Macaca mulatta: one gene and its partners. Each later gene encodes a partner of the first gene's protein in a complex. Links are inferred from orthologs where the notes say so. Each region holds a gene or a part of one and is shown in the gene's direction. Other genes may lie near its edges.

The links.
Region 2: SGF29 (region 1) and TADA3 share a complex: the UniProt entries of both Homo sapiens proteins name them as parts of the ADA2A-containing complex. The link is inferred for Macaca mulatta from reciprocal best matches to the Homo sapiens genes SGF29 and TADA3.
Region 3: SGF29 (region 1) and MBIP share a complex: the UniProt entries of both Homo sapiens proteins name them as parts of the ADA2A-containing complex. The link is inferred for Macaca mulatta from reciprocal best matches to the Homo sapiens genes SGF29 and MBIP.
Region 4: SGF29 (region 1) and YEATS2 share a complex: the UniProt entries of both Homo sapiens proteins name them as parts of the ADA2A-containing complex. The link is inferred for Macaca mulatta from reciprocal best matches to the Homo sapiens genes SGF29 and YEATS2.

Annotation. Positions count from the first base shown.
Region 1 is NC_133425.1:28,277,266-28,282,108, forward strand, and holds the start of SGF29 (SAGA-associated factor 29), read left to right. Parts: upstream 1-1,634; 5' UTR 1,635-1,771; exon of another isoform or gene 1,772-1,884; intron 1,885-4,843. UniProt on the Homo sapiens protein: Chromatin reader component of some histone acetyltransferase (HAT) SAGA-type complexes like the TFTC-HAT, ATAC or STAGA complexes.
Region 2 is NC_133407.1:148,571,864-148,576,178, reverse strand, and holds part of TADA3 (transcriptional adapter 3), read left to right. Parts: intron 1-23; coding exon 24-129; intron 130-2,327; coding exon 2,328-2,469; intron 2,470-2,558; coding exon 2,559-2,662; intron 2,663-2,698; exon of another isoform or gene 2,699-3,741; coding exon of another isoform or gene 3,742-3,765; intron 3,766-3,935; coding exon 3,936-4,045; intron 4,046-4,315. UniProt on the Homo sapiens protein: Functions as a component of the PCAF complex. The PCAF complex is capable of efficiently acetylating histones in a nucleosomal context. The PCAF complex could be considered as the human version of the yeast SAGA complex.
Region 3 is NC_133412.1:109,434,974-109,439,288, reverse strand, and holds part of MBIP (MAP3K12-binding inhibitory protein 1), read left to right. Parts: intron 1-1,251; coding exon 1,252-1,371; intron 1,372-3,152; coding exon 3,153-3,377; intron 3,378-3,456; coding exon 3,457-3,553; intron 3,554-4,315. UniProt on the Homo sapiens protein: Inhibits the MAP3K12 activity to induce the activation of the JNK/SAPK pathway. Component of the ATAC complex, a complex with histone acetyltransferase activity on histones H3 and H4.
Region 4 is NC_133407.1:95,834,691-95,839,777, forward strand, and holds the start of YEATS2 (YEATS domain-containing protein 2), read left to right. Parts: upstream 1-1,910; 5' UTR 1,911-2,120; intron 2,121-2,204; exon of another isoform or gene 2,205-2,337; intron 2,338-4,754; 5' UTR 4,755-5,047; intron 5,048-5,087. UniProt on the Homo sapiens protein: Chromatin reader component of the ATAC complex, a complex with histone acetyltransferase activity on histones H3 and H4. YEATS2 specifically recognizes and binds histone H3 crotonylated at 'Lys-27' (H3K27cr).

The DNA of each region.
Region 1 (4,843 bases):
GCCACCACACCTGGCTAATTTCTGTATTTTTAGTAGAGACACGGTTTCACCAAATTGGCCAGGCTGGTCTCAAACTCCTGACCTCGTGATCCCCCTGCCTTGGCCTCCCAAAGTGGTAGGATTACAGGGGTGAGTCACCGCGCCTGGCCTTGGGCTGATATTTAACAATCAGGAGAAAGAGCCCATAAGACCTTTACAAATGCAAAATTCACAAAATCCCTCAAAGCATAACCTTCATAAAAAGTAGTAAGTCAAACTGCAGCTGGGTGGGTGGGCATGTCATTCACTGACCTGGAGCCCACAGAAAGAAATGCAAGTGTGATGGAAAAAAATGACGCATTAATTTTTGGATTAAAATAGTTTCAGTGCTAACGCCTGAGATTCTCTAATAAACAGAAAAATACTGACGAGGCTGAGCATGGTGGTTCATGCCTGTAATCCCACAACTTTGGGAGGCTGAGGCAGGAGGATCGCTTGAGCCCAGGAACTCAAGACCAGCCTAGGCAACATAGCAAGACCCCCATCTCTACCAAAAAAATTTAAAAATCAGCAGAATGTGCTGGTGTGCGCTTGTAGTCCTAGCTACTCAGAAGCCCTGATAGCACCACTGCACTCCAACCTGGACAACAGAGCGAGACCCTGTCTTAAAGAGAAAAAAAAGAAAAAGAAACGTGATGGCTAGGCACTGTGCTAGGTACTAGGAATACACAGGTGAACACAAGATGATCCTAATCTCATAGGACTTGCAAGTTTATCAAATAATCTACAAATAATTACAGACATTTGTAGGGTTATGTAAGAAATTATAAGATACCAAGATGGATTTCGATAAATACCACTGAGGCTATGCGTCCATTGCACGTCCATATCCTTAATACTTTCCTGAGAAGACCCCCTAAAAGTGCTATTTCTGGGTCTAAAGGTCTGCTTGTTTTTTTGTTTTTTGGTTTTTTTTTTGAGATGTAGAGTTTCCCTCTTGATACCCAGGCTGGAGTGCAATGGCGCAATCTCCGGTCACTACAACCTCCGCCTCCTGGATTCAAGCGATTCTCCAGCCTCAGCCTCCCAAGTAGCTGGGATTGCAGGCACCCACCACCACGCCCGGCTAATTTCTGTATTTTTTAGTAGAGACAGGGTTTCACCATGTGGGTCAGGCTGGTCTCGAAGTCCTTAACTCAGGTGATCCGCCCGCCTCAGCCTCCCAAAGTGTTGGGATTACAGGCGTGAGCCACCGCGCCCGGCCTGTTTTTAATTAATTTTTTAACAATAGACTTTATTGACTTTAGTTTTTAGGGCATTTTTAGGTTCACAACAAAATTGCGCAGAAAGTACGGTTTTTGTATTACCTGCACCCACTCCTCTCCAGCAAGCAGCAATCTCTTCGTTTTCAAGTTGGGTTTTTTTTTTTTTTTTTTTGCATTTTGTTTTAAATAGTCTGGGGGAATGGGAGAACGCTGAAAACGCACAAGCACTTTGGCTGGTTAAATTAGGGTTCCGACAAGAGCCGGAGCGGTGTGCCAAGTAAAAACTACATTTCCCACCCGGCAGCGGGTCACGTCACAGAGGAACGACTGCGCATGCGTTCAAGGTCCTCCGCGCGCGACTGCGCTCATAAAAGGAAAAAAAAAAAACGTGTGCGGCTCTCGACGTGCCGCCAATCTTCGAACGCAGGTCCGTGATCATCCGCAGACTCCGAAAAAGCGTTCAAGGAACGCGCCAGCTTCCCTCGTCGCAGTTTCCAGCCCGAAGACCTTGTTTTCTGCGAGACTCGGTAGGTGGGGACGGGCCGTGGCCTGAGACCTCCGGCGAAGCGCGGGAGCGAAGGGCTAAACCCTCCCTCAGCGCCCAGGCTCCCGTCCTCCTTCAGGCGGCGCTCTAGGGACGGTGCGTACGTGCTCTGAGCGGGAGGGGGGCGGGAGGGGCGGGGCTGGGGGGCGGGAGGGGCGGGACTCGACGGTGGGGCGGGCCCTGCGCCCAGCCGTTCGAGGTCTGCGCGTGCGCGCTTCCATCCCGGGCTAGGGTGGGAGACAGCAGCACGCCGGGCTTGGCAGGGAGGCAGCCCCCAGGTCGGGTGCATGGCCCGGGTCACGAAGATGCGGACAGAAGATGGGCCCCGAACTCCAGCATTTATTTTATTATTTGCACAAAAATTATCTTTTTTTTTTTTTTGAAGATACACTAACAGCTCGTAATTTGCCCAGGCTGGTCTCGAACTCGTTGGCTCAACCTCTCGCCTCGGCCTTCCAAAGTGTGGGGAGTATAGGCATAAGCCCCCGTGCCTGGCCAAAAAATGCCCATCTTAGGAACAACAAAGCAGCCCCCTTCACCCTCGCTGTCCTCCAGTTACCTCCTCCTCGCCTCCGGTTTGCAGCCAGAGGCCTCAGTCTACCCTCATTAGTGCCTTTTCTCCTTCAAGTCTTGAACCTTGAGCCTCTAGTCAGGCTTTGGTCTCCACCACTCCACTAAACCGGCTTCTTGTCAAAGCCACCAGTGATCTCTAGATGGCCAAATTCATTGTTAAGTTAGGTCTCAGTCCTGTAGCAGCATCTGGTGCTGTTGATCGCTGCACTTTCTTGAAACACTGTTTTCATTTGGCTTGCTGAACGTTCTCTTCCTTTGCCTCTCCTCACTCTGGCTTCTCCTCTGCTGATTTTAACCTAGGCATCTCACTTTTTTTTTTTTTCTTAGAGACAGGTTCTCTGTTGCTCAGACTGGAGAACAGTGATGCTATCACAGCTCACTGCAGCCTCTTGCAGCCTTGAACTCCTGGGCTTAAGCAGTCTTCCTAACCAAAGCCTCCCCAAATGCTGGAATTACAGGCATGAACCACCACAATCCCAGTTTCACATTTTAAATGTAAATGCCAGCCAGGCGTGGTGGCTCACACCTGTAATCCTAGCACTTTGGGAGGCTGAGGCAGGCAGATTGCCTGGGCTCTGGGGTTTGAGACCAGCCTGGGCAACGTGGTGAAATCCAGTCTCTTCTTAAAAAAAAAAAAAAATTAGCCGGGCTTGGTGGTGCGCACCTGTAATCCCAGCTACTTGGGAGGCTGAGGTACAATAATTGCTTAAACCCAGGAGGTGGAGGCTGCAGTGAGCCAAGATCGTGCCACTGCACTCTAGCCTGGGTGACAGAGCAAGACCCTGTTTCAAAAAAGTCCTAAAGGTGGAAGAAAATCCACATATAAGTGGACCTGCACAATTAAAACCTGTATTGTTCAAGGGTCAACTGTATAGCTATATTGAAAGAGATTTATTGTGATGGATTGGGTCACACAATTACAGAGGCTGAGAAGTCCCAAGATTTGCCTTCTGCAAGCTGGAAGCCCAGGAAAGCAAACCCTCTGGAAACTCACAAACACACTCAAAAGTATTTCACCAGCTATCTGGGCATCCCCTAGCCCAATCAGGTTGACGCATGAAGTTAACCATCACATTTCCCTAGCTTTGTTTTTCAGTTGCCTCAGTCATCATTTTACTGGTGATACTTTGAGTGTTGTCATAATAGCCTAATGGTGGTTTGGCAGCTTCCACTTCCATGATCTCTTTTACTCTTGAATATGCTGAAGTCCTGACAAAACTTGGAATTGAGAGGAAGAGCATAGATTTTAGAACCTGCAGCCTTGCAGCCCCAGCTCAACTACCTATTTTTCCTGAGTTACCTAGCATAACCTATCTGAACTTCAATTTCCTTACTATACGTACCATTCTGTTATCTATTTTATAGGATTGCTGTAAGGTTTAAATGAGAAACACTGGCATAAGTTGCAATACAGAGGCATGAAGGAAAAAAATTGTCTTCTTAATGTCTCTTTAACCAATTGATGAATATAGATTGTATTTATTTATTTATTTATGGGATGGAGTCTTGCTCTGTCACCCAGGCCGGAGTGTAGTGGTGCAATGTTGGCTCACTGCAACCTCTGCTTCCTGGTTGTAGCTGGGATTACAAGCATGCACCACCATGCCTGGCTAATTTTTTTTTTTTTTTGAGACAGAGTTTTGCTCTTTGTTGTCCAGGCTGGAGTGCAGTGGCGCAATCTCGGCTCACCACAACCTCTGCCTTCCGGTTTCAAGCAATTCTCCTGCCTCAGCCTTCTGAGTAGCTGTGATTACAGGCATGTGCCACCACACCTGATTAATTTTGTATTTTTAGTAGAGACAGGGTTTCACCATGTTGGCCAGGCTGGTCTTGAGCTCCTGACCTTAGTTGATCCGCCGGCCTTGGCCTCCCAAAGTGCTGGGATTACAGGTGTGAGCCACTGCGCCCAACCTATTTATGTTTTTTTTAGAAACAAGGTCTTACTGTGTCACCCAGGCTGGAGTACAGTGGTGCCATTGTAGCTCCCTATTCCCAAACTCCTAGGCTCAAGGGATCCTCCTGCCATAGCCTCCTCAGTAGCTAGGACTACACATGTGCACCACCATGCCCAGCTAATTATTTTATTTTGTTCTTGTAGAGACAGGGCCTCCGTGTGTTGCCCAGGCTGGTCCTGAACTCCTGACCTCAAGTGATCCTCTCATTTCGGCCTCCCAAAATGCTGGGATTATGGTTGTGAGCCACTGCACCCAGTTTGCAGATTATCATTGCTAGTGACTGGATTGAGAGTGTGGGATCTGAGTGTGGGGTATTAGGTTCCTCTTTCCCTTTGACCCAGAACAAAGCTCTTACTGTTTTCAGCCCTGTGGAATTAATCTTAGAGTGGCTTAAGTGTAGGATGTTTGGATTTGTTTATTTGGGGCCTTAGATGCTATTACAGTAAAAGGGCCAGCAATTTTAGGCTAGGTATTAGTGGTTAACACGCGCTTCAATCCTGCAGCCTTTGTCCCTCAGAATTGGCTGT
Region 2 (4,315 bases), on another chromosome or scaffold:
TGAGGATCTGCTTCTCCCTGCAGGTTCTGGGCTTCAGTGGAGCCCTACTGTGCTGACATCACCAGCGAGGAGGTCCGCACACTTGAGGAGCTACTGAAGCCCCCAGAAGATGAGGCTGAGCATTACAAGGTAGAAACTCTGGGCCTTGATAGACATGATGCAGAACAAGAGAGTTCAGAGGTGGCTGAGAATTAAAGCTACCAAAGCCATGCATCATCTTCCTTCCCCCATCCTGCCCAGCCTCCTATCTGCTCCATCAATGTATCCAGACACCCAGGTCCAAACTCAGCTTTCTTTTTTTTTTTTTTTTTTTTTTTGAGACGGAGTCTCGCTCTGTCGCCCAGGCTGGAGTGCAGTGGCCGGATCTCAGCTCACTGCAAGCTCCGCCTCCCGGGTTCATGCCATTCTCCGGCCTCAGCCTCCCGAGTAGCTGGGACTACAGGCGCCCGCCACCTCGCCCGGCTAGTTTTTTATATTTCTTAATAGAGACGGGGTTTCACCGTGTTAGCCAGGATGGTTTCGATCTCCTGACCTCGTGATCCGCCCGTCTCGGCCTCCCAAAGTGCTGGGATTACAGGCTTGAGCCACCGCGCCCGGCCCAAACTCAGCTTTCTTTGTGCGCTGCCTCCCCTCTACCTGAGCCAGATGTCACCATGCCCTCAAGCTTAAGTGAAGTGTGCCCATGTTCCTTTATCTCTGTCCCTTTGCTTTGGTCCAAGCCTTCATCAGCTTCTATACAAACAGCCCCTTAACTCTGTTCCTGCTTTGAGGCCTCTGGAGGAACCCTTCTTCTTTCTTTAAGATGTAAAGCTTGGGCCAGGTGCAGTGGCTCATGCCTGCAATCCTAGCACTTTGGGAGGCCAGGGCAGGCAGATGGCCTGAGCTCAGAAATTCGAGACCAGCCTGGGCAACATGGTGAAACCCTATCTCTACTAAAATACAAAAAATTAGCCAGGCATGGCGGTGTGCACCTGTAGTCCCAGCTACTTGGGAGGCTGAGTCAGGAGACTTTCTTGGACCTGGGAGGCAGAAGTTGCAGTGAACTGAGATCACGCCACTGCACTCCAGCCTAGGCAACAGAGCAAGACTCTGTCTTTAAAAAAAAAAAAAAAAAAAAAAAGTCAGCTCACACCTGTAATCCCAATACTTTGGGAGGCTGTGGCAGGCAGATCACCTGAGGTCAAGAGTTCAAGACCAGCCTGACCAACATGGTGAAACGCTGTGTCTACTAAAAATACAAAAATTAGCCAGGCATGGTGGCGTGCACCTAGAATCCCAGCTACTCAGGAGACTGAACCAGGAAAACCGCCTGAATCGGGGAGTCATAGGTTGCAATGAACCAAGATCGTGCCACTATTCCAGCCTGGGTGACAGAACGAGATTCCATCTCACAAAAAAAAAAAAAAAAAAGAAGAAGATACGAAACTATGTTTTAATGATGAAAATAAATAAAACATGCTCCATTAAAGAATATTTAGAAAATACAGAAAAATGTTGAGGGAGAATACTCCCATAGGTCAGCTGTCATCAGATGTGCTCATGACATGGCACTGCATCTAGGCCTCTCTTCATCCCGTTATCTACAGGATCAAGTCCATGCATCCCAGTCCTTGGTGGCACAGCTCCAGTGCCTCTCTCCATTTTCCTCGGCCATACCCCTCTTCATTGCTGTGTTGACCAGTCCCACCAAGTACCTTGCCCTCATTCCAGGACACCACAGCCTCCTTGCTGGTCTCTGGGCGCCTCTGGCAAGCTCTTCTCTCCCTCTTCTCTCCCTGATAGACTTGACTCACCCTCCAAGGCCCTGATCTCATGTTACCTCCACCAAAGCACCCTTTCAGATTCCCCAGCAGAAAGTTAGTCTCTCCTTTGTGCTGCCACAACACTTTGATCTGTCTCTTTCACTTCACTTACCTGACTTTTTAAAAATTTATTTGAAAAAGAGTTCATACAGACAGCAGTTAATTCAAGCAATATAAAAGGTAATTCCCTGTCACCCGTGACCTGAAGGCTCCTAATTCTCTCGAGAGACAATTGATGTGACCTGAGACAATCCGTGTATGTAGAGTATTCTGCACCTTCTATCTTGGGAATTGTTTCAGATTGGCTTCTGTGTGTGTGTCTTAGTCCTTTTCGGACCTGTCTCCTTTACTAGAGTGTGAAGTAGAGGTATCTTCTTTATACTTTCTTACCTATACCTGACACTGGGCTTGGCCTTGGACTAGGGACTTGAGAGAGAGATAAGACAGATAAGTGAATGAATGAATGAATGAAGCATGGCTGGCCAGTGCTTACCCACTCAGGGTTGGGTGCCATCTTTTCCACAGATCCCACCCCTGGGGAAGCACTACTCCCAGCGTTGGGCCCAGGAGGACCTGCTGGAGGAGCAGAAGGATGGGGCCCGGGCAGCAGCCGTGGCTGACAAGAAGAAAGGCCTCATGGGGCCACTGACTGAACTGGACACTAAAGGTAGGCCTCTCACCTCCCTGCCAACCCCAGGTCAGGACTTGAGTTCCAGAACTTCAGCCCACCTGCCCTCCTTTCCTGTGCCCACTTAGATGTGGATGCCCTGCTGAAGAAGTCTGAGGCCCAGCATGAACAGCCGGAAGATGGATGCCCCTTTGGTGCCCTGACGCAGCGCCTCCTGCAGGCCCTGGTGGAGGTGAGCACCCTAATCCAAAACAGGAACCACATTTACTTTGTGTTTTAATGTGTTATATTTATTTTTTATTGGAATATATCATACATTTATTAGGTTGGTACAACAATAATTAGGTTGCTGCAAAAGTAAAAACCTGGACTAACACATAGCAAAAGATTGGGAATAATACATAACTTTTGCACCAACCTAATAGAAAAGTGCACAGATCATAAATGTACAGTTTTCACAAATGAGCTTGTATTAGCAGCCTGGAGATTACAAAATGAAGCATTACTATATCCTAGAAGCCCCTCTCATGCCCCTGTTTTTCTCCAACTTCCCCCAAAGATAGCCTCTACTCCACAATTAACTTTTGCTAAGCATCTGTTGGAGGGGCTTTATACACATCCTCCCACTGGAGGCCAGGACAGTGGTTAACCCTGTGTTACAGATGAGAAGATTAGAGGCTCAGAAAAGGGAACTGTTCACTTGAGGTCTCTCACAGCAGGATTCAAACCCCTACTTCGGGGTCCCTGTCTTTATACCTGCTGGTTGACCTTAGACACACCCTCATACTCTTTCACCTCATTGAGACTCAGTTTTCTTTTCTGGCTCAAACACAATAGTTTCTCTCATGTAACAGTCTGGGTACGTGTTCCAGGTTATCTAAGGTAGGGGAAGGGGCATATCATCAAACAGGAATCCCAGCTGATGGTGGCCTTGCAGTCTGCACAGGGTCACTCTGGGCATAATTGTCACTCCAGTCCCACAGAATAAGAGCAAGGAGGAGTGTGTGAAGGAAACTCTTTGGGCCATGCCTAGCTGTGGCTCTTATTTCTTCTGATCGCTTTCCCCTGGAGAGAATCTGTCACATGACCATACCTGCCTGCAAGGGAGCCTGAGAAATGTAGTGCAGCTGGAGAGGCATTGCCTAGCTGCCATGGAGGAAAGGAGAGTGGCGTTCGGACAGCTAGCACCTCTGCCACAGCAGGCCTAGCACAGTGCCTGGTGCGTTGCAGGCACTTCACAAACCTTGGCTGTTCATTACCATCATTGAGTGTTAATCATTTCTCTTCTGTGTTCCTTTTGTTCCTTTTTCTTCATATCAGTACAAAAATGGATTTCTAGAATGATCAAAGCAATTTGGGATCAGTATGGGAAGGCTTCCCAGAGTAGGTGGGATGGGAAAGATAAAAGGATATTTCTGGTGTTTGAAGACTGTCAGTGTAGGTCAGAAAGGAGCAGGAAAGTGGAACAGCTCTTTTTCCTTCCACCCATTTCTGTGGTCTTCTAGGAAAATATTATTTCCCCTATGGAGGATTCTCCTATTCCTGACATGTCTGGGAAAGAATCAGGGGCTGACGGGGCAAGCACCTCCCCTCGCAATCAGAATAAGCCCTTCAGGTGAGTGGTGTCCTATCCACAACCCACAGTCTGGCGCCCACTTCTGTTGGCTTCTCTCCATCTCAACCTGGGGAGTTCCTCATCAATAAGAGGCTGGGGACAGTTAGGTGAAGCCCAATAGCAGTCTCAAGTGTGAGTGCTGGCCCAATGTGTCTGCATGCACAGACTGAGTGCAGGGTTGTTCAGCACAGAACTGTTCATACCATAAATAAACCAAATGTCCTGCTGAAGGGGAGTGGTTGGCTAAATTGGCATAACTCCATATGATGA
Region 3 (4,315 bases), on another chromosome or scaffold:
AATGCATTCACTTTAACGTAAAATCTTAACATATTATAATCTTTGCCAGTGCAGCCTACATGAAATTTCATGTATCTTTACGCTTGTCTAATATGGACTTCTAAATGCTTCTGTTCTCATCTTCATTTCTGTCACAAAGTATTCAATATATTATCTTTTTATTGGTAACCTTACATCTTTTTGATCTTTGTACAGTGATTCATCTTTTTTATTATAATTATGACTAATAAAATCTGTATTTGAACTCATGTAACACCTTTATTTTGTAGAAAAGATGACTCATTTTGAATAAATTATGTTAAGTTGATTCCACTATGAAGTGTATTCTTATACTATGCTATAAACACATGTCCCTAGAAAAGTTTGTGATGGTTCACTTTTATTTACTCAAAAGACTGCAGATGGGCGCTCTCATTGTAAACTTTTCACTCATTTTGATGATAATCTTATATTCAGGTTGTTGGTAGTTTTCTGGGTATGATTTTATTCTATTAGATCACCAACTGATAGAAATTTCCATATAATGAGCACTGATATCTTAGCATTTAGCAAAAGATCTGGACATTTCATCCAGTCTGGCAACTTATGTCACTATAGTGGAGAAGTCTTTGTTTTTCAGCTTCAGACTTCTGTAGCTAAATAATAGTTTTTCATTTGAAATAAACATGTTGCCATTTATCCCTACACTTTATATGTATGAATAATCTTGACTTTTAAATTAGTTTAAAAATTGGTTAAAAGTTAAAAAACTAAAAATGTGATTTGGAGGACATCAGAATAATGATATATTTCTGATATGTATTTGTGTACATAAAGAGAAAGATGCATGTTAAAACTTTCACAAAACAGTTGTACTTCCTCTGTTTAAGGCTCTGAGCTAGAAGTAGTAGGATTCTGAATAGGGCAGGCCTATATTGGACTCCATCCAAAGGTTTGTAGATATTGAAGTATCAAAAGAGCCTTCATCTTTTCATCTTTCATGAATGGTTTTTACCTCTAAAATGGTCGCATTACACAGACCCAAGAATAGAATTTGAATGACATGTCATGTTGTTTTTGTTTTTTATGAAAATCTGTAGCTTTTTTGGCCTCTTAAAATGGAACTGCGTAGAGCATTTCAGTGTATTATTAAAAACTTGATAACTTAGAGCAAAATAGACCCGTTACTCTAGAAATCTTATTTTTGTGACAATTCATATGTACAGCTTAATTGTGTAATTTTTGTGATGTTGCTGGTTTGCCCCTTTGAAGCTTAACCTCAGAGATGATGTGGTGAAAATTACAATCGATTGGAACAAGCTCCAGAGCCTCTCGGCATTCCAGCCTGCATTGCTCTTTAGTGCACTTGAACAACACATTTTATATTTACAGGTAAATTTCTTGCTAAAATGATAACCCGATATTGAAAATAGACATTAATTGTGGTTAAATTAGTTGGAGTATTTGACAGTTCTAAACACTATATTAATAGTGTTGCTAACAAAAGGTTATTTACATCCAGATTTAATCTAAATCTGTTAATTTCAGTAGTGATCAGGACAGTTAAGGGAATATAGCCCAAAAGACCAATGTGGGTATGAGAGTGAATGAATGCAATTCTATTCAATTCTAGACCTGCACTGAAAATTCAATACAGTTCCATCTATGGTGGGTTATAATTAAGCAATAAGACACGGCAGGTGTGTGTCATGCTATGATAATGATTCCATGCCTTGGGTGAGTTTGGAGGCTCATGGAGTGCTTTCAGTGGTTCAAGAAGGGGCATTATCCCAGCATGACACATCCTGGAGTGTCTATTGCAATTAAACAGTTTCAGCATAGTTTTTAAAAAGAAAGTAATTTCTGTGACATTAATGTCTCATCTTTGTAAGTAGCCAGTCACTATTTTATCATTTCTTTTCCTTAACAGTTTGAAATAATTCATTCTTTATATTAGAAGTTAATATTGAATCTGTATTTATAATAATGTTGTTATATTTTTAAATATTTCATGTTAATAACTGAACAGTATTATGACCTTGCTGGTTTCTAATTGAACATCTTTGCAATTATAATTGATGTAAGTTTGCAGTTTATCTCTAATCAAAGTGTAAAATGTGAAGTGTCAAAAAGACAAGTGGAAAAACTGTTTGGATTGGTCAGTTTACTGTGATTAAGGTGTTACAAGGTTTCAAAAGAGTAGTATAGCAAACAATGGAAGCAAAATTGTGGGTATGAAAAAAATAATTGGAACATTATCAGTGTTAGTGTGTTTTGACTAATGGAATAGGCATTAATTTTCAGCCCTCCATTCATTGACTTTGTGGGAAATTTTAACTGTTCCATGTTAAAAGTAATAGTTAACCCTGTTTTAAAGGGCAGAGCAGTGAGCTGTAGAACTCAAATGAGGCCTAATTGTGGGGAGCGGGGGAGGGGAACAGTAAATGGGTAATATAGTTTATAGTCTACAACAGGGGTTTTCCCCTGTAGTATAGTGATAGGCCTCTGCCTGTTTTCAGCTATAGATCTTTTTTTTTTTTCTTGTTCATTTTCTTTTTTAAAATTTAATTTTATGACCCAAGAAGAGATCTTGCCATGTCAGGAAATGTCTGAGTGTTCACTCAACCTAACACCTATATATTTCATGTCTATCTTCCTCATTCACATTGGCCAACTGCAGTTTCAAGTGGAGAATCTCCAGTGATATAGTGATAATGCAGGGCTTTGCTGAGTGAGAGCACTGGCTCTCATGTTAAGGAGGAAAAATACTAAGCCTTAGTGTTCTGAGGAGGCATTTGAATGACATGTTAATTAAGTGGCATTGGTGCCAGAGGCTGAAGGCTTTGATTTGGCACAAAATAAAAGATGAGTGACAGAATGATTCTCTCAAAGAAAATTTTAAATTTCCTTAGGTTTTCTTTTCTTTTTTCTTTTCTTTTTTCCTCTCTCCTTTTTTAAAACTAATTTATAGCAAATGATAATGGTTACAATAGCAGAGAATAGTAAATACTTACATGTGGTCAGATCTATGTGTCTTGGTATACCAACTTTTTATATTTATTAACTGATATTAAGTATTTCATTTACTTTGCAGAAATTTATGTAAATATATTAAATGTGTAATTAATTTTGGTCAGTTTGAACCTCAGCAGATGGAATTGTGTTGTTCTCAGCCTTTTTTAGCAAAACTTCAGTCTCCAATTAAAGAGGAGAATACAACTGCTGTTGAAGAGATAGGAAAAACAGAAATGGGGAACAAAAATGAAGCAAATGACAAATTTTCCATTGGTGACCTACAAGAGGAAGAAAAACACAAAGAAAGTGATTTAGGAGATGTGAAAAAGACACAGATCCATTTTGATCCAGAAGTAGTTCAGATAAAGGCTGGAAAAGCAGAAGTAAGTTTTTCTGGCGGGGGTGAGAGGGTATTATTTTTAAAAATCTTATGTTTACACTGTTAAAACTTGTTGTTTGTAGATTGACAGACGAATATCTGCATTTATTGAAAGAAAGCAAGCTGAAATCAATGAAAACAACGTCAGGGAATTTTGCAATGTTATTGATTGTAATCAAGGTAACTACCTAGAAATTAATTTTCATAGGGTTTTAAGCACAATTTTTATAGTTGCTCTAATCTTTTATTTATTTTTTAAATGAATAGCTTTAAGAACACAATTCAAGTTATTTCACAGGTTTAGTTAGTAACTAAGATAGTAGAGTTTCCTTCTGCTTAATAATAGACTATATTGCAAACTGGTTTTCATTTTGGTTACACAAAGTAAATGCTAACATTAAAAGTGTTTATCACTGGCGAAGATTATTTTAAAGTTCCTTTAGGAAATGAATGTGAGGTATGAGTGACAAGGTTGATCTATCCCACTAGTAAAAGGAACTGAGCTCTATGAGTTTCAAACCTATACATGTACTGTGAAATCATGATGTTAATACATAAGTGAACTTAAAGTTAATATTCCTCCAGAGGGAGCAGTTTTCTCACTACTCCTGAGCTGTTTGAAATGTCCTATGTCACAATACAACCAATTTATCATGAAGACTATGGTGTCTTGCTTTTTTCCTTTCTGCCATAGTGCATACGTTTGTTGTTTTTCATCAGATTCTCCTTTACCTCTCTACTTGATGCTATAGTACATTTACAAATCTGCAGTTATGCTGCAGAATACAAAATATTGCAAAGCAGTGCCATAGATCATACTCAGGCACCATAGTAATAATCAGAACAACTAGTTCTTAGGAAAAATTATGGAGAAGAATTCATAATTGGGATGAACATGTTTCTTGTTGCCTCTAATATCTCATGACTAATTATTATGAACAT
Region 4 (5,087 bases), on another chromosome or scaffold:
CCTTCTCACAGAATTGGACAGCCTTCCAAGCTAGACCAGGGGAGGTCAACTTCTAGCTTCCTCAGCACTTACCTGGGTATTTCTATGCTTCCCACCTGAGTGTTAAACCCCAAGAGTAGGGGAACACCAACACACTCATCCTGATCTCTGACCTCACCCCCTTCTCCATGAAATTTATGTTTATCTCCCCAGTTCCTATTATCTCTTGAGTCTTAGCTTAAGGTTCAAGGAAGCCTTTCTTAATTGTTTTTGTTTGTTTGTTTGTTTGTTTGTTTTGAGACGGAGTCTTGCTCTGTCGCCCAGGCTGGAGTGCAGTGGCCAGATCTCAGCTCACTGCAAGCTCCGCCCCCCGGGTTTACGCCATTCTCCTGCCTCAGCCTCCCGAATAGCTGGGACTACAGGCGCCCGCCACCTCACCCGGCTAATTTTTGTATTTTTTAGTAGAGACGGGGTTTCACCATGTTAGCCAGGATAGTCTTGATCTCCTGACCTCGCGATCCGCCCGTCTCGGCCTCCCAAAGTGCTGGGATCACAGGCTTGAGCCACCGCGCCGGGCCCTGTTTATTTGTTTTTGAGATGGAGTTTCACTTTTGTTGCCCATGCTGGAGTGCAATGGTTCACTGCAACCTCCACCTCCCGAGTTGTGATTCTCCTGCCTCAGCTTCCCAAGTAGTTAGGATTACAGGCATGTGCAACCATGCCTGGCTAATTTTTGTATTTTTAGTAGAGATGGCGTTTCACCATGTTGGCCAGGTTGGTCTTGAACTGCTGACCTTAGGTGATCTGCCCGCCTCAGCCTCCCAAAGTGCTGGGATTACAGGCGTGAGCCACCACGCCCATCCAGGAGGATCTCTCGAGCCTGGAAGTGTGAGACTAGCTGTGGTGATAGTCAGACCTGTCTTTAAAAAAAAAAAATTAGTCTGGGGGTGGTGGCTCATGCCTGTAATCCCAGCACTTTGGGAGGCTGAGGAGGGTGGATCACCTGAGGTCAGGAGTTTGAGAGCAGCCTGGCCAACATGGTGAAACCCTCTCTCTACTAAAAATACAAAAATGAGCTGGGCGTGGTGGTGCATGCCTATAATCCCAGCTACTTGGGAGGCTGATGCAGGAGAATCACTTGAATCAGGGAGGCAGAGACTGCAGTGAGCCGAGATCATGCCACTGCACTCCAGCCTGGGCAACAGAGGGAGACTCTCTCAAAAAAAAAAAAAAGAAAAAAACCACAAAAAACAAAACACCATTTACATGTATTATGTGTAGATAAAAACATTAAATACATAAAAATTTGATAACATGTAGGTAAAGTATTAAAAAATCAGCTCCAGTAGTAAATCTTTATACAGTGAGGAGGGATTGAAGGGGAACAGAAGATCCCCGAAGACCAGTTGGGAGGCTATTTATAGTCCTGGGCAGAGAGATGACAGGGTCTTGGGTAGAGGGTGGTAGAGTTAGAACGAAAGAGAATGTTGGCCTCAAGAGATATTTAGATGGAAAACTGGACTTGGATTGTCACTAGTGTGACTGGGATAAGTCTCAAGCCTTCCCTGCCTCAATCTCTTCATCTGTAAAATGGGCTAGCAATAACTACTGTTATTTGTATACGCAGCACTTAGCACATGGGTTGGGACAAAGATGGCACACACAAAAATCATTGTTACTATTGTAATTAATAGGGAAGCTCATACATACCGGCAGAATGAATATTCTGTCAAACTTGGGGTTGAAATTCGCCACCTTCTGGGGCAGAAAAGTGATGGACAACCACGCCTTTGCGAGAATCGACGCCCACACTGCCCAGGAAGTGGCCTCGCGGGCCGGGGTCGCAGCCTGGACCAGCCCCGCCCCGCCCCGCCCTCATCCCTGCGAGCTCCGCCCCGAGGCCGCGCGCGCGCGCCGCCGCCACCACCGCCGCCGCGCGCGCCCCGACGCGCCCGGCTGCTGACGTGCGGGGCGGAACGGGTCGGGCGGGTTCCACCGATCTGGGTGCTTCCGCGGGCTGCGGGGGTCGCTGGGGTTTCGTGGCTGGGCAGCTCCGCGGGGCTTCGCCCGCTCCCTCACCTCGCTCTACCCTCTCGCGGCGCCCGGCGGGGCCGCGCTGCAGCTGGAGACCCGGAGAAAGGGTGAGTGTTGGCGGGCGCAGGAAGGGACCGCGCGGGCGCGCGCCCTGCTGTCTGGGGCATTGTTTGGGCGGGGGCGGCGCGGGCACGTGCGCGCCCCTCCCCCATCGGCCGGCTGCGCCGCGGCGGGACCCGGTGAGGCCCCGGGCCGGAGGGGAGGGCAGGGAGGATCCCAGGTGCGGGCCGAGGAGCCGCAGAAGCGGGAGCCTGGAATCGGAACGTGAGTTGGGGGCTTCCTCTTCAGCGGGGCGCTCCGCTGAGGGGATGCGGGTCCCCGAGCCTCAGCGGCCGGAGGTTTCGGGATGTTAAGCTCTTGGCCTTGGAGGCAAGATTTGGCCCCAGGACCAGAAAGTCGTGGGTTTACCGAAAGGATCCTGGAATGCCCCTCCAACCTGTCGCCATCCCCACCGGCCCTCCCGGGATGGAGGGGAGGGGTTAGAGAGGCTTTGGGGTTCCAGGGAGGGGGCCGGGGCCAACGCGCCGGAGCTGCGGGCAGTGCGGGGCGGAGTGGAAGCCTCGGAAAGTGAGGACTCCTGCAGGAAAGGCTGGCTTGGAGGGCTGTGGCCAGACTGCAGAAGACAATGAGGTTCTCCCCATCATGAATGTGATTATGTTAAGAAATGGAAAGCAGAGAAAGAGAAATGCCATCAGCGATCTTATAGGCCTGACACATCATTTTTTTAGTTTGATGTTTGCTAGTATTTTCATCTAAGCCTTCAGCAGTTACAGAGTTGACCCACGTTTTCCATTTCTCGCTCACATGTACAAAATGCGCCATAATATCATATAGTATTCAGCAATATCATTTCCCCTTAATGAGTAGAGAGTATTCAGCGTAGAAAAATTTAAAAATACAAGCAAAGCAAGAGAAAAATGCCCGCAGTTTTACGGTCTAGAGATATTACCCTTGGATGTATATTCCTGTTTGTGTATACTCTTTAAAAGATAGGGCAGATGATGCTCTGATTAGGAGTTTAGTTTTTCCGGGAAACCTTTGAAGGTTTTGAGAAGGCGAGTAGCATAATCCGACTGCTATGTAGAGGAAGAGGGCTGGGGAGGAACCTACGAGGTCAGTTACTGTGCTCTTTGCAGTAGCTTAGACTAGGCCCATGGCAGGGAGATGGGGAAGTGTAAACAGATTTTTAAGTGTTTTGAAGGTAGAATGAACAAGACTTGGAAATGAATTGGTGAGGGAATGGTGGGAGTCTTTGCTTTTTTGATTTTTGTTTTGAGCACCTGAGTGAATGGTGGTGCCGTTTACTGAGATGAAGAATGGAAGAGAGAAATTTGAGGTGGGAAAAATATCGAAATCTATTTTGGATGTATTAAATTTTAGATGCTTATTAGTTATGAAGTCGGTGTGTTGAGGCAGTTGGATGTAGAGGGCTGGAACTCAAGGAAGAGAGAGGCTAGAGCTAGAGATAAAAATCGGAGTGGCTGGGCGCAGTGCTCACACATGTAATCCCAGCACTTTGGGAGGCCGAGGCAGGTCGCTTGAGCCCAGAAGTTCTAGACCAGCCTTGGCTACAAGGCAGGACACCGTCTCTTAAAAAAAAAAAAAAAAAAAAAATTGGAGTGATCAGTACATAGATGACATTCAAAGGTATGGTGCTGTGTGAGATCACTGAGGGGAAGCGTGAAGAAGTGAAAGGGGCTCAGACACTCAAATACCTGTAGGTCTGGCAGAGGAAGAAGGTTGAGGAAAGGACACAGGAAACAGCAAGTGAGGTAGGAGAAAAAGCTGGTATCATGGCAGCCAAAAGAGATATTTCTGGAAGATGTTGAATTGGTCCTTTTATCAGGGCTTCTGAGATGTTCATTAAAGTTGTCAATTGGATTTGGCAACACGGAGGTCATTGGTTTTGGTCATTGGTCTTCCTGTCCATAGTTCTGGAAGTGGAAGGTGGGAACCAGACTAGAATAGTTTAATGGAATGTGAGGAAATGAAACTAATGAGTGCAAATTAGAAAAAAAGTGCCCCTATTTCCATCTGCGCCAAAACTAAACTGGATCGATGAAAAATGATGTCTTGTGTTTTTTTCATTTATTGATTACTAGTATGTTTGAACATTTTTTTCACATTTATTGGCTATTTGCGAATTTCTTTTCTTGTTCTCTGGCATCTTTTGTTATTTCCTAATTGATTGTCAAAGGTTCTTTAGATATTAAAAATAGGTAGCTTGACATACAGCATTCAGAGCTCTCCCCACATGTTTTTCAGTTTCCAATGCTTCATGTTCATTCAGCGGATGCATGATAGTTTGCGGTGGGTTATTTTTTATTATAAAATCCATAGGAAGAGGAGAACTAACATTACGTTGTAGATCTCTGAGTGCAGCCCACGTATGATGTACATTGCTCCGTATTTCCTTAGGATAGATTCTCAGAAATAGTTGGTCCTGTCCTCTTCTCATCAACCATGGATTTTTACTTGAATGTTCGTTGCCACGTTCTTGGATTGTTCCACATCTCCCTGCCTTTGGTCCTGCTCTGCTTTCAGTCTGTTTTCTATCATGATAGAAAGTAGATGGTGGGAGTTGATGCAGTTTTCTCACAGAAAACAAGACTTATGAAGCAGATTTTTTCTTTTTCTTCTTTTTCTTTGTTTTTTTTTTTTTTTTTTTTTTTTGGAGACAGAATCTCAGTCTGTTGCCCAGGCCGGTGATCCCAGCTACTTGGGAGGCTGAGGCAGGGGAATTGCTTGAACCCAGGAGGTGGAGGTTGCAGCGAGTGGAGATCGCGCCACTGCACTCCAGCCTTGACGACAGGGGGAGACTTCGTCTCAAAAAAAAAAAAAAAGGCGGATACAAAAAGCCACGTGCTGTATGATTCTATTTATACGAAGTGTCCAGAAACAGGCAAGTTTATCGACACAAAAAGTAGTTGCCAGAGGTTGAAGGGAGAGGAGAATTGAGAGTGACACTTAAGAGGTAAGCGGTTGCTTTTTGGAGTGATGAAAACATTATGGAA